Mytilus edulis: one gene and its partner. The protein of the gene in region 2 purifies or fractionates together with the protein of the main gene of each other region. This does not show direct contact. Links are inferred from orthologs where the notes say so. Each region holds a gene or a part of one and is shown on either strand. Other genes may lie near its edges. The genes, in order: formylglycine-generating enzyme-like and N-sulphoglucosamine sulphohydrolase-like.

The links.
Region 1: the proteins of N-sulphoglucosamine sulphohydrolase-like (region 2) and formylglycine-generating enzyme-like purify together in Homo sapiens (co-immunoprecipitation; 3 studies listed by BioGRID and IntAct, with this or other methods). This does not show direct contact. The link is inferred for Mytilus edulis from reciprocal best matches to the Homo sapiens genes SGSH and SUMF1.

The regions. Positions count from the first base shown.
Region 1 is NC_092344.1:86,298,856-86,306,145, reverse strand, and holds the start of formylglycine-generating enzyme-like, read left to right. Parts: upstream 1-4,240; 5' UTR 4,241-4,368; coding exon 4,369-4,788; intron 4,789-6,728; coding exon 6,729-6,803; intron 6,804-7,290. Other genes in the region: uncharacterized protein, read right to left, coding at 2,896-3,038.
Region 2 is NC_092352.1:65,483,002-65,491,126, forward strand, and holds the start of N-sulphoglucosamine sulphohydrolase-like, read left to right. Parts: upstream 1-4,998; 5' UTR 4,999-5,048; coding exon 5,049-5,145; intron 5,146-8,125. UniProt on the Homo sapiens protein: Catalyzes a step in lysosomal heparan sulfate degradation.

The DNA of each region.
Region 1 (7,290 bases), on a different chromosome or scaffold from region 2:
GGAAGGGGATTGTAGTTACGACGTAAGAAACATATCCGATATCATTTGTGAAACGGTTATTCCATAACGGTCAAGCAACTCGTGATGGCGTCCGTAAAATTTACGAAGGGATGATTTCAACCTCACCATTTGGAAATCTTGGTTTAATAGCTTCCTTGTGAGCAGCAACCCGCTATCAAGAAAATCATGATAGGAAATGCAAGCAAGGGAATTTCGTATCAATTGGGAGATAAATACCCCGTATGCAGGTGCTGCTGGAATGTTGCTACTTAAAAATGGAAAGTTCACAATTGAAAACTGAAATCATCTCTTTTGTCGTAAAGTTTTGTTTTCAACCGACCCTCATTGTCAATTTCTAGATGTAAGTCAAGATATGAGGCCGACGTAACTGTATCTGTAGTATCCTTTATCTCTAGTTCGATGGGATAGATGAGTTCAACATAGTCACCAAATTTTGAATTATCTAGTGAAAGAACATCATCTATATAGCGGAAAGTAGAGTTCAAAGATATTCTGATCTTTATTCCTGAGAAGTTCCTGTATGAAGTCAGCCTCTAATAATAAAGAAACAAGTCGGCAAGAAGAGGGGCACAGTTTGTTCCCATTGGAATGCCGATAGTCTGTTGAAAAACACGTCCTCCGAACGTAACAAATAATTCTATCGTCAATCAATAAATCAAGCATCTTGATAATGTCAGTTTCAGAGAATTTTTTGTTTGAATCAGAGTGATCCTTTACAAAGTAGGATTTATCCTTCCTTAAGACAACATACTTTTATCTACGTTGGCCATTCTTTTTTATGAAAAAAAGCAGTACCAAATGCCAAAAGTGAGTGTAACAAGAAAAATATCTGTGAATGTTATTAGAAACTATTGCGTCAGGTCACTTCACTGCTGTTATATTTCTTTTTTTTTCTTCAGAGAAAGTGTAATCGCTCATTGTGTCAGATCAGTCGCTTTCATATCATCTGACTGTTGTTATACTAGTTTTTCAAAATGGGGAACACAACCAATACTAGTCGAACATGACTATTTATATGCTGAAAGTCCCCCTTACCCACCAGCTATGAAAACAAGGCACCTAACTACAACGGTTCCTGTGGAATATAAGAATATCACATACGGAAGAAGTACATATAAGAATATCACGTACAGACAAAATACATATAAGAATATCACATACGGAAGAAGAACATGTATAAGAATATCACATACGGAAGAAGTACATATAAGAATATCACATACGGAAGAAATACATATAAGAATATCACATACGGAAGAAGTACATGTATAAGAATATTACATACGGAAAAAGTACATATAAGAATATCACATACGGAAGAAGTACATACTAAGAATATCATATACGGAAGAAGTACATACATAAGAATATCATATACGGAAGAAGTACATACTAAGAATATCACATACGGAAGAAGTACATACAAACAATATCATATACGGAAGAAGTACATATATTAAGCGGATGATATTATATAAACCAGCTAGCCTTTTAAGATAGAGGTTTAAAAGGTTATTGTTTTTAAAATCTTATTAATGTTGAAATATTTATATATTTTTACCATACTATAAAATTAGATGGAACATGGCAATCTTTATACATTCTAAAGGCACATTTTATCAAATAAATACTTATTATTTTCTTTTTATTACTTTGACATTTACAAGTCCTTTTTAGAACACCTCGATAAAACAGAATATCAGTGTCCTCTGTTGTTTTTTCTAATCTTTTTATGTAAAAAAAAAAGTTTGTTTGATAAATAATTTCTTTCTTATTACTATATTGAATGTGTGTCTTCTTCTAAGAGACCTATTTGCAACGTACATGCACTAACCAAAACAGGGGTGCAACGGAAATGCACCCTGTTCATTGGTGTAGATAGATGATAACATTAAGAGACCAATTTAGCTGCATAAGATGCGCATTGCGACTATTAATTGAAGCAAATTTGTAAAAACAATATCCGTATTTAAACATCTGAGAAATCATCTGAAAAAAATACCAGATTTTTTGGCACGTCTTCTCTTCATATGTTCACACCATTTACAGAAGAATCTAACTAATTTATCAGAATAATGACAAATATTTGATTCACAGAAATTTTGATCGAATCTTATAAATGAAACGAGTAGAAATTATATATGATCGAATTTTAGTTGTAGTTCCTTATGTGGACCATTCTTGATGTCAAATCTGAACTCACCAAATAATTTTATATTACGAGAATTCTTGTGTTACTTAGAGTACACGTATCATTGATCGCAGGAAACATGTTCAAATAACTAATAAATCTTCTTTAGTTTCAGAAAACCATCAACATACTGATGTTTACTTTCCGGCAAAATATATTATACCAAAACAATGGGAAAAACAGTCCACCGACAAAGGTCTCGACCCAGTTGTATTAACATCAGAAATGATCCATTCAAACTATATGACGGTGAATTTTTGCCGATTTTAGACATCGCCAAAGACTAACATAGTTTACTTGCATTTTATTTATTTTTTAACCAATCCAGGTGGTCACCGCATACGGTTGACGGGTTTTGATTAGTTAAACCACGCCAATTCTTCTCTGGCATCCAGATATAGTGATAGAACGAGTAAAATATCAACAGAACCTTTTTCAAACGAATAGCGGTATTAATATAGTGTTTTGTATATTGGAACCGTGAGCTAGTTGCATGTCTTATTGGCAATCATACCAATACTCCGAATTTTATTTATATTCATAGTATCTTTAATAAAGAAGGCGTCTTATTCTGTTTTATTGTAAACATACCTTTTCATCAAAATTTTCATTTTTACTTCATGAAATATGAAAGGACAACGCGAAATCATGGCGCCACCATACTACTGATAGATTTAACTTACGAGAGTTTGGTTTGTTGGTATCCCTTTTTAGCCAGAAATAAATCCTTGGGACATTCAGATTGAATCGATAACCCTTTCTTATCATAATCTTCAGACGGTTTCACTCCAAGCGGTGCAACTTTTGCAAATTGTAGTTTCTTCATTGCGGTAACGTGGTCAAACGTCTTCTACTTATATGTAGTCATAGAGATTTCATTTTAACGTCATTACCATTGTTCAGAGAACTTTTCGTTAATATCCTACGCTTTTGTAGAAGACTTGTTTCTTTGTCGCATTTGGCTACCAATTAGGCGTGAGTTGGGGATGGGGGTAAGTTGGGTTACAATGAGTTTTAAGATTTTACAGGCTTCGCAAGAAAACGATGTCTAGTAATTGGTCTATTTTGTAATTCGTTCTGTCGCCAGTGCCATCAGTAACTGCAACAGTTTTTCTTTAATACTATTATAACTTAACTTTGCATTACAGGGACAGAAATTTCATTTGTGCCTCCTATTTTTGGCACTTTTGATGACTTTTTATTCATGATTTCTCATGTGTGGAACTTAGTCATGTTTGCCATTTGATATAGAATACAAAGATGTGTTATATGATTGCTAATAAGTTTATTAATTTTTCATAACTTCTAGGCTGGCGATATTTCTTGTCCGATTTGAATGATTTTTTTCTTCATTCAATACTGTACAGAAGTGTTTGTAGCCTCTTATAATGTACAGCTAGTGTCTCTCTTTTTCTCTCCACCCCACCCCAAACCCCCTAGTTATATATCCGTTAATTAACACGTATTATCATTATTACATTGCACAGAGATATGAATTTGCCCGCACACTTTGTAAAAAAAAAATCATGACTATAAAAGCAAAATGTCCATATTTGTTTACAAACCAGTTGTGGATCCAGGGAAAAGGGGGGTATTCCAGGGGTTGGAACAATTTCCTGAATGAAAAAACCATTTCAAAGAAGTATTTCTTTAGTAATTCTTTGACCATGTTGACTGATTGCCCTAAATTTCATTTTTTTTTACACCTTTCAAATGTCTGCTATTCATCTATAATAAAATATATTTGATACATATTGTTTAAAGCTGCAGTTATTTGGTTTTAAACAGACGTGTAACAACGGCGATGTGTCCCCCGTTGACAAAACATCAGGAAATTTCAAACACCCTTTAATCCACTGAACATTTCAAATGATTTTTCTCAAAACAAACACGTTTTAAAGCTAAGAATATTTTGCATTTGAAGTTATCTCTATATAGAAATGTCAGTATACTTCAAAAACATAAGGACCTGAACATAAACTGAAGATAACATGGAAAGATATGGCGAAAATGAGCACCCTACTCTACACTATCTGCCATCGAATCACCAATGAGTAGAAAGGTGTCCCGTAACTGGAAAATTATTCACAGAAGTAGAAGAGTAAACTTCTTTTATCTGGAGGTGCAATAAGTAAATGATATAAGCGACAAGTAGGATGAAGCAGACGCATTTGAGAACTGTTGTGTTGTTTGCATGTTTTTGTGCGTGTTATCTTGAAGAACAATGTGATGTCAAAGATGATAGTTGTAACAGTGCGAAGGAAAAATCGTGTGGTTGTTCAATTAGTCGTGACAAATCTAAATATGACGAAAAAATAAACATAAACGTGGACAGTGAAGACGAAGGTCTACAAAGTGAACTTTTGCAAAAAGATGATTTTAAGTACCAAAGGACTAACGAAATGGTTTTTATTGAAGGTGGAACATTCTCTATGGGCACAAATAAACCAATTTTTATGGTAGATGGAGAAGGTCCGGAAAGATTAGTTAAAGTTAACCCTTTCTACCTAGACAAATATGAAGTTAGCAATAGAGAGTTTGAAATATTTGTGACGAAGACAAATTACAAAACAGAGGTAACTGAGGAGAATCTTAAGCAGCAACCATTTGATTTTCTGGGGGTGGGGGTGGGGGGTGGGGGGGGGCTATGGATTTTTTCTGGACAAATTTTTTCCTTGCTATTTTTTAGGCGAGAAGTAGAAAACAATTTTTTTCTTTCAATTTTAGCATTACATATAGTGGCAGCTGAGGGTGAAACAAACAATTTTTTTTCTCAGGATCAGAAACAAATTTTTTTTTCTCCAAAAACTGGAAACAAACTTTTTATCCCAATAACTCCAAATGGCCTCTGGTCCAATCGCATATTTTATTCTTAAAAAGAACTCAAAAATGGTCTATGCTGAAAGTAGTCTGATATTACTTTCATTGTGACTACGACGTCCAATGGCTGTTTTGCCCTTCAAGCATTTTTGTAAATATGATCCTGTAAAGGGAAATTCAATAGTCCATTTGCCAATTAGTGATTTGATTCTGTTATACAGTGAAACCTGGGTAAACCGAACCCTGATAAAACCGAATTTCAGTTTAAACCGAACAAATTTCAAAGTCCCACAAAATTTCCCCATCAATTAACGTTAATCTAACCTGAAAAAACCGAACCCTGTCAACACCGAATTCCGAACGCTTTTTGAAGGCTCGTTAGTAAATTTGTATCTAAAAATTACCTGTCAAAATCGATCAATACCAATCAAATTATTTGCATGATTTAATTAAACAAACACAGGATGGCAGAGTATCCCCGAAGGTATTTGAGGTTTAATGAACTTGTGAGTTGTTATTACAAACTAATTAGCATGTCTGTGTGCATGTATAAAGTGATTTTTTTGTAAAGAAACGTTAAACTGGTCAGCTACCCCCATCGCCGATAATGACAAGAATAATTACGGCCACAAAATCGAAACTGCCATTCTGTAGCTAAACTGTTTAATTAAATAATAGTTTTAAAGACTTTCACTGGATTAAGAAGTCGTGCAACACAACAAGGTCAATGGATTTCGATTGCTGGATTCCCATTAGAGGCCCTATATACTACAATGTATTTGATTCGAATGCTCCCGAGGACTTCCGCTCGCTATTTAGCAACGATAAAGTCCGAGAATAAACTGGACCCCTGCTGTTGTTTCACTGTTATCGTGTGCCGAAGTATCAATCAGCGGGTGACCAGTTTAGTCCGAGAACTCGTGTGTACAATGACATTCCCGATTCAACTACGGAATCGTCATGTGACTGTGAATCTGAATTGGTCAGTGAATTAACGGATGAGAAAATAATTATAAAAAGCAAAATCACTCCACGTCGGACATCTCCCAACGATGAGCGTGATTGACAGAGTGGCGTTTGATTTATAACAAAAATGTAGCAAAACGTCTATCTTTTATCTTCTTTTATTTTTACATTTACATCTAAATCAACACAAAAAAAAACTGTCGGCTGTTGTGTCACCTATTATTCCTGCCAAAATTTTTTGGTGTCGACTTCCGTCTACCTCTACAATCCGAACACCTGTGAAAACCGAACAAAACGCAAAGTCCCGTGGGTGTTCGGTTTGGACAGGTTTCACTGTATTTACACACTTTTTAAACTAATTACTTCCCTTTGTCAATCGTAGACTGGTTCCATATCGGACAAAATCATTTTTTGCCAATGCAAAGCATGATGAATTGAAAGTTATGTACTGTGGCGGCAGTTTGATTAATTTTTCATGAAAAATAATTTCTGATATCAAAAGTATTTAGCTTAACAACAAATTGATGTATAATAAAAAGATATGAAAACCTTAAAAATTACTTACATTATGCACAGGTAAATTTGCTCTTTCTGCTAGCTCTCCATTGTTAATGAAAACTATTGTCCCTCATAAAGGAGACAACTGAAAAGGGGATCTCTAATAATAGGACCAATTACAGGAATTGGCAAATAGCCTATTGTAGAATTGTTTTTGTTTTTCTATTTTTAGGCTGAAAAGTTTGGAAATTCCTTTATAATGGATAAATATGTGAGTGAAGAAACATTAAAAAAAGTAAATCAACAGGTAAGCATGGTATACCAACAAGATGAACATTAGTTATTAATCAAACAGAAACTGTCTTCTATGGTTGTCCCATGCTTGCTTCTGACAATGAATGGAGTTTGTGGATTTGATCCCTAGTCTGCCAGATTAAAACTTGAAAGTAGCAACTCATGGTTGCTTCTATGATATAAAGCATGTAGCATTAAGAATTAATTAAGTCAGAGTAGATTTTTCAAGGAGACAGAATAATATCATGTAAGGGTAGGGTTACATAATATGTCTTAAAGCAGGCTTAACTTGTGAACTAACTAGCTGATTAAAAATCTGTAGTTCCAGTTAAGCACAAAACAGAATCCATATATATTTGACTCTATCATGTTTTTGTCCATGTACTGCATGTTATTGTATTTACCACTGGACGTTAAACACAAATTCATCTTCTTTTATTATATATAAAATAAGTTCTGTTAAACCTATCAGTAGAATGAGAGAAATTGCAACAATTTAA
Region 2 (8,125 bases):
GGGGCCCTTTATAGCTTGTTGTTCGGTGTGAGCCAAGGCTCCGTGATGAAGGCCGTACTTTAACCTATAATGGTTTACTTTTTAAATTGTTATTTGTATGGAGAGTTGTCTCATTGGCACTCACACCACATCTTCCTATATCTATTGTCATTTTGGTCTTTTGTGGATAGTTGTCTCATTGGCAATCATACCACATCTTCTTTTTTATATTAAGTTAAAATTACCACCGACGAAGAAGACCAAAAAAGGGATATTTTCTTGAGTGTATGTGGGAAGAATACCTACAAATTAATAAGGGATTTATTAGCACCAGCCAAACCATTAGGAACGAAATCACTGGCCGATTTAACAAAACTAGTGAAAGACCACCGAGATCCAGTACCATCAGAAATCATTCAGAGATTTAAATTTAACAGTAGAACAAGACACAGCGATGAGTCAGTGAGGACATTTATTGCAGCACTAAGAAGTCTGACAGAACACTGTAAATATGGTGACACGTTATACGCAATGTTATGTGACAGGTGAGTCATCGGGATAAAGAGTCACCGCATACAGAGGAGGCTGCTAGCAGAGTTGAATTTAACATTTGAAAAGGCATTGGAAATTGCTACCACTATGGAGACTGCAGAGAAGAATGCACAGGACATCCAAGCGAGTGGGACAAATGCGACATTTCAGAAACAAATCAACAAAGTTTCAAAATCATATACAAGAAACAACTCTGGAAATTCGAAACAAAGAGATTGTTACCGGTGTGGAGGAAATCACTTAGCCGCTGAATGCAGGTTTATGGATGCAAAATGCCACAGTTGTAAAAAGAAAGGACATATCGCAAAAAAATGCCGTAACAAATCTGCCAATGGGAATTTAAGTGAAAATCACAGAGTTTAAATCACGTTTTAAACCACATGCTCATTTCATGGAGCAGGATGAAAGTAGTGAAAGTGAAAATGAACAGTCAAGGGTCTAACTTAAATAAGTTATCAGAGAAAAATAACATGCATGTGTTATTACAGACATTTTCATGAGTTGTCTACTCTTTACTAAACTATGAGCTGTTATATCTTTGCAAAGATTAGTATACATAAAGAAAATTATAATATTAATAGAATTTGAGAAAAATTTAACAAAATGAAGGTTGTATATTTTCCCTTTGAAACATGTAACATACATATGTTATCACAGTTTTTTTTATATTTTAGCCCACAATAACAACATGTATATTATTTATCTCTAATACCTTATTTAAGTTAGACGGTTTGACTGATGAAGTTTACTCAGTTTTTCATTTTGGAAATTAATCTAATGAGGCATATAAAGTGCAAATCAATGTGAATGAATGTGAAATAGCCATGGAAATAGATACCAGCACATCAGTTTCTATCATGAGCGAGGATACTTACAAGGATTACAAGTCGAACTTCAGAATCGAACCGACAAGTGCTAAACTCCGAACATACATGGGAGAGCAGATTCCTGTAAGTGCATGCAATCGTCAATGTCAATTACAAAAAGGAAAGCGCAAAATTACCACTTCTGATAGTGAAGCGTAAAGGTCCGAATTTACTTGGCCAAGACTGGTTGAACAAACTCCAACTGGATTGGAAGGATATTTTCTCCGTCGTTGGAAGTGATAATCAATCGAGTGATTTGAATGTGATCTTGGAAGCAAATAAGGAGGTTTTCAAAGATGAACTTGGAACTGTAAAAGGCATGAAAGCCAAGATTTATGTTGATGAGAGTGCCGTACCGAAATATTTATTAATTATTAATTATTAATGCCGTTTCAAAGTTTCAAACAAGCATATCAACAAATTGAACTTGATGAGGACAGTAAGAGGTATGTGACTATAAACTCGCATAAGGGTTTATTCAGATACAAATCATACAATAGACTTCGGTATGGTGTAGGGTCCAGCCCAGGTATTTTCCAAAGAACACTTGAAAATGTTGTTCAAGGTATCGCCAATGTGATGGTTCGAGTAGACGATATACTGATAACGGGTAAAACAAGGGAGGAACATCTAAATACTCTTTCTGAGGTTTTGTCTAGATTTAAGAAAATCAGAATTCGGTTAAAGAAACAGAAGTGTTTGTTCATGGCCAAAGAAGTTGTTTATTTGGGATTTAAAATAAACAAACACGGAATCTATCCAGTGGAGAGTAAAGTTGAGGCGATCGATAAAGCCCCAAGTCCAACAAACGTGACAGAACAGAAAGTTTATCTTGGAATGCTGAACTATTACAATAGATTCTTGGCGAGTTTGTCTCACTTGTTAAAGCCGCTACATGTACTTCTACAGAAAGACACAAAATGTAGTTGGGAAAAAGAACAGGAAAAAGCGTTCATAGAGTCAAAACAGTTGTTGAAATCCCCATCAGTACTTGTACATTTTGATTCGAAAAAGAAATTAATCTTAGCATGTGATGCATCTCCGTATGGATTAGGGGCTGTACTTTCGCATAAAATGGACGACGGCAGTGAAAAACCAATAGCTTATAAAATGTACATCGCGAACACTTACATCAGCAGAGAAGAATTATTCTGTTCTTGAGAAAGAGTGTCTGGCCATAATATTTGGTATCAAGAAATTTCATCAATATTTGTATGGACACCCCGTTACAATCATAACCGATCACAAGCCGCTCATACATGTGTAGGTTTATTTCGAGAAGATAAACCTATACCTACAATGGCAGCATCTAGCATTCAAAGGTGAGCACTGATGTTAGCTGCATATGAGTACACGATTGTATACAAAGAAGGGAGTCTGAATGGTAATGCGGATGGACTAAGTAGACTACCGCTGAAAACAAACATTGAAAAGACACCAACTCCAGGTGATACATGTACTATATTATTAATGGAACATTTAGCCACTACGCCATCCAGTTGATGCTAAACAAATTCAAAAGCGGATACGCAAGGACACAATACTGTCTATGGTGCTTAGATACATTTTGAATGAATGGCCGTCAAAATGTCCCAGTGAAGACATAAGACCGTATTATAGTAGAAAAAATGAACTGTGTAGTTAGCATGGTTAGGACGGATCCATATTATGGGGAGGAAGAGTACTTATATCACAACCAGGACGTGAAGCCATGTTAAATGAATTACACCAAGGACATCCAGGGATTACTAGAATGAAAAGTTTAACAAGAAGCTATATATGGTGGCCGGGAATGGACAATGACAGTGATTTGTTTGAGCCAGAAATAACTATACCAATAAGTACTCCTGAGACCTAACAACCGAAAATCGAGAAACTGTCAAACATGACTGAACAAATGGAACCACATTATCCGTAGAAAATAAGAAAAGAACCATCTCATTTAAAGAATTTTGTGTTCAAATAAATGGTTGATTTATAAAGAGGCATAATAATCCTTACAACCATTTGGAGTGCATTAAGTACTTCGCAGAGCATGTGTGTACATATCAATTAGAGTACGAAATAACAACAAGACCAGTGCGAACATTCTTATTTTTATTTTCATAGTAGGACATTATACATACATAGTTTCAGTGCAGACAAATTTTAACAAATGAATCTTTGTGATCTGAAATTTTTATTTGTTTTCAAACTGATATGGACTTATAATTATCAATCAGTAGCTGTGAAAAGACATTAATTTTCTGTACTGGGTAATTGAATTAATTTGTTTTTAATTTGTTTTTATCTAAGGCTGGAGAAGTGTTATAAAGTTCACCACACAGTGCACTTTATTACCATGTCATCTGTTACAGTAATTATAATTGACAGATCAGCAACTCTCACATGTCTGCACTTCTTAAATAAACATGTAATTACATTTGTGTAAAAAGATCAATTGAAGTTCTTATACACATGTTGTCATTCTGTAGTCTGACCATCAAAGATGTACTTGTTAATAAATTAGTTATAGAAACTTGATTGTATTATTACATAAGCAAATATATTACAGTTTTGAAGCCAACAGAGAGACAGAGCAGGGTGATAAAGGCGTAGGGATGGACGATAAATTTATATATATATAAATGAACTAAAATTAAAAAACATACAAGACAAGAGTGAACTGTCCTGTTTCACCAGGGGTCATTTGGAGGAAAACATGTCATTGGACATTGTGAATCGTCAATGCAAGATACACATGATACATTGTACTTGGGATTCCATGGTCTTACTTTTAAAATGCTTCCATTTTCTCCTCTTCTTTTGTTACAGAAAACCATCAACATACTGATGTTTACTTTCCGGCGCATGCCTGGTAAATGTTTTTTTTTTTAATAAATATGTGAATAATTTTTGTCAAAACATAGATTAACAAAATATTTCTTGTTCAAAGTTGTTTTTGGTCATATATTTGCGTATTTTCAATTTTTTACAATTTTTCTTTGTTTTTGATTTATGCAATTTTTTATTTAGTTTTAAATATTACATTTTTTATTTTTATTTTTTGGTATAAGATGAAAACAAGAGTATCTGTTTATTTCAGATGAGGGTAAGTATCAAGGAGCACATCGTGTGTGAGTGCATCCTTGAAGTTTTCTGTAGTAGTGTTTTTGGTAATTTCAGAGGATAGTTTGTTCCAGTCTTTGATGGTTTGACAGAAAAAAGAAAATTTATAGCTGTCTTTATTGCATTGAATTTGTCTGTAGGATTCTTTATTGGTGGATTTTACATGTTTCATATCATTTTTAATATCCTACAATATATTTTTTAGAACCATATGAGATTAATCAATATATGTGATTATTACAAACTAGTGTTTTTTATAGTTTTTTTTTTTATATAATATTAATAATAAATATGATGACGATAATGCGTATTTTCCTGTTTCTTCTGCATTAGCAAAAGTTATCATTTGAAATGCACCTATTTCAAACAAATGAGATAATAAGCCATCTAAACTTCTTAATGAATATTGTCTGCTTTACCTGAAATTGTTTAATTCTACGCCGACATCAATTTTTTCTCGCACCTGCAAAATCCAATGGTTGATTATAAATTAAGGGAGATAATTACAAGGGAGATAACTGCACAATTTCAGCATTAACGAAAATGAAAGTAAAAACGTTTCGAAATGGTTTTGTTACCACTTTTATCTTATTTCTTACAGTAGATTCTATCTCATCAAAGAACGTACTCATTATTATAGGTAAATCATTGTAAGATCATTGTAAAGTTCTGTTCTATTATTTTTTTTTAATTTTAAATATAGATATAGGCCTAGGGAGCTACCATTTGATTTTTATGGGGGGGCTAGGATGAAAAATTTTGTCCTGCATTTTTTTTTTGCTGTAATCTCTGTCCTGCCTTTTTATTTTTCACTCTGTTCGGTCCTGCCTTTTTTATTTTTAGTTTATCTTGACTTTTTTTTTACCTAAATTGTCGTCCTGACTTTTTTTTTGCAAGTGTCTCATCCTGCCTTTTTTTTTACTCAAAACTCCTGTCCTGCCTATTTTTTTCAAATTTCATCCTAGCCCCCCCCCCCCCTCATAAAAATCAAATGGTAGCTCCCTTAGATGGCTATGTACAGTATAGCTTTGTAAAACAAAAACAAAATTGTTCGCATCAGGCGAAAAAAGTTTCTGACTTGGACAATAAATTTAGCGTCAAGATATTTAGATTATAACATGTATAATGATTATTTGAAATAAATAGATAAAGAAAAAAATCTTAATTTGTGTGTGGTTTTATTTTTTAATATAAATGAATTTTCATTATTTTATGATCATGATGATTCAAAGAGCAATTAATGAACATGATGAAGAAGAAAATAAACATATGTTCAATTTTGTTCTAGAAATATTTTGTTTTTGTTTTCAAGGATCATGTTTAAATAGGTTACAGTTACAATGGTTACAGTTTTGTGTATTAATTAATGAATTGATGTTTATGTAGTTGACATGGTTGATATTTCAAAGCCAAAGGTTCAAACCAATCTCGTCTTTATTTAATTTACTAAAAAGGTCCATATATATATAAAAAATCAATGTACTGACCATTCCTATAAGGGGTTCTCTATTGAAAATAAAACTATTAACCAAAGACATTTGTAAATATTTATATGTCTTCGCTGTACACTGGGAACAGTATATCTATGTTCCTGCTGTACATAACAAAATTTGAAACTTTAGTTAAACAGCAAAGATTGGTTAAATCTACTTTAATTAATTGACTTTTCTAAAAATTTATGACATTAATAGAATATAAACTTAAAGGGATAGTAGCTACGATTTTGACAAAATTATGAACAAGTTTCAAAGCTGCTAAAATCAAAGATATGTACTAAATATAAGCAAATTGCTCAATTTGTATTCTTGTCACTTTTTTTCTTCTTATCATATTATAGATTTCTATAATGTGGATAGTAAGATATTAATGTAATGGTAAAAGTAATGTTATTTCAAATTATATTTTTATAAGGTCTGACAGACACCTGCTCATCGAGCTATATTGAGCCTTTTATAATCACTTGGGTTTCATTGGCTGTTAATTGTTCTTCATCGTCTCAGTCTGTTGGCTGTTAAACTTGTACAAAGATCATCTATGAAACTTAATAATTGCATGAGCCAATTTAAACTAAACTTGGCCACAATAATCAGGTATCAAGTTTAAAAAATGTGTCTGCTGACATGTCTAAAATTAGAACATAGTGGTAAAATGCAATTGTTGTCTGTTATTTCTTGAGAAACAGTAAATGACATATAAAGTCTAATAGGGCAAAACATGTGTAGGTGACAAGTAGATAAAATGTACTATCTGTCAAATGACTTTTTAGTAGAACTATTACACCCTAAAACTATGATTTTTCAGAGTTTATGCAGTTTTGCCTATTATCTTGAAATGTAAAAGATAGAATGTTGGATTACCAATAATGTTCTGCAAGGCAAGATCTACAAATAAGTCAACATGATCTAAATATTATTTGATTTCTTATTACTTAAACAGTCAGGGGTGCTACTAAATAAACAAGTGATTTCATTATAACCTATTTCAGTGATTTGATAAATTCACCTATTTTAGTGATTTTTGTGTTTCTTTTGATATTCAAATGCTAATTTCATTGATTTTCCATGTTTTCACAAACTTTTCTATAATTTTCTTACATAGATCACATTATCCCTTTTTCTATGGATATTAACTTCACCAGTGCGCTTGGGCAGTAAGTTTTCCATATTTTCACAAACTTTTCTATAATTTTCTTACATAGATCACATTATCCCTTTTTCTATGGATATTAACTTCACCAGTGCGCTTGGGCAGTAAGTTAGTGCGCTAAAGCTTTTAAAAGTACCCTTGGGAATTGTTCTGTAATCAAATATTCATTAACTACTCTGACTATCATGACTATCAGACAAAGGTCAACAATATTAGGTAACCTGGTTGGTTTTCTTTAAGAATAGAATGATATACTTCAAGGTTATATCCTGATCTACAAATTATTCCAGAAAACGCATGTTTTAAATAAATTGTAAAAACTGGCATTTAGGCTTATCAAGCAAAAGACAATTCCTATATGTATATAGTTAAGTTGTTTTTTTCAATGGAATTCTTGTCTTTTTACCAATAAAAAAATCAAGCTTGTGAAAAAAATATCAAGAAAAAGTTATAAACACTTATTGAAGTGATCTTCATAAATTACTTGTTTCAGTGATTTTAAAAAGTCTGTGTCTATTTATAGATTTTTTTTTAATATTTCACAGCCAAAATCACTTGAACAAGTGATTCTGAAATCACTTGTTTAAGTAGTACCCCTTGACTGTTACAGTGACTTGACTGTTAGTGTTGCTATCCACCAATTGCAACTCATTCAAAATTTTGACCAAATTGCAATTTGTTTTATAAAATCAAATTGTTCAACTGGTCAGAATATTGATCAAATTGTTCAGTCAAAATGTGAAAGTGCAAGGTGATAAAATAATATATACTTACAATCCTATAAGAGTTGTACTCCACTTTAATGATGTTATTACTAAATTTGTTTATCAATCTGTATAGTTATATTATAGCCATTACCATACTAAAGGTAAAATGTTTTATTTTGAATTGCTATAAAAATGTCCAAACTAAGCTTTTATATAGTTTTTCTTTCGAAAAGGATTTTATATTTATAAGAATCATATATCATTTAA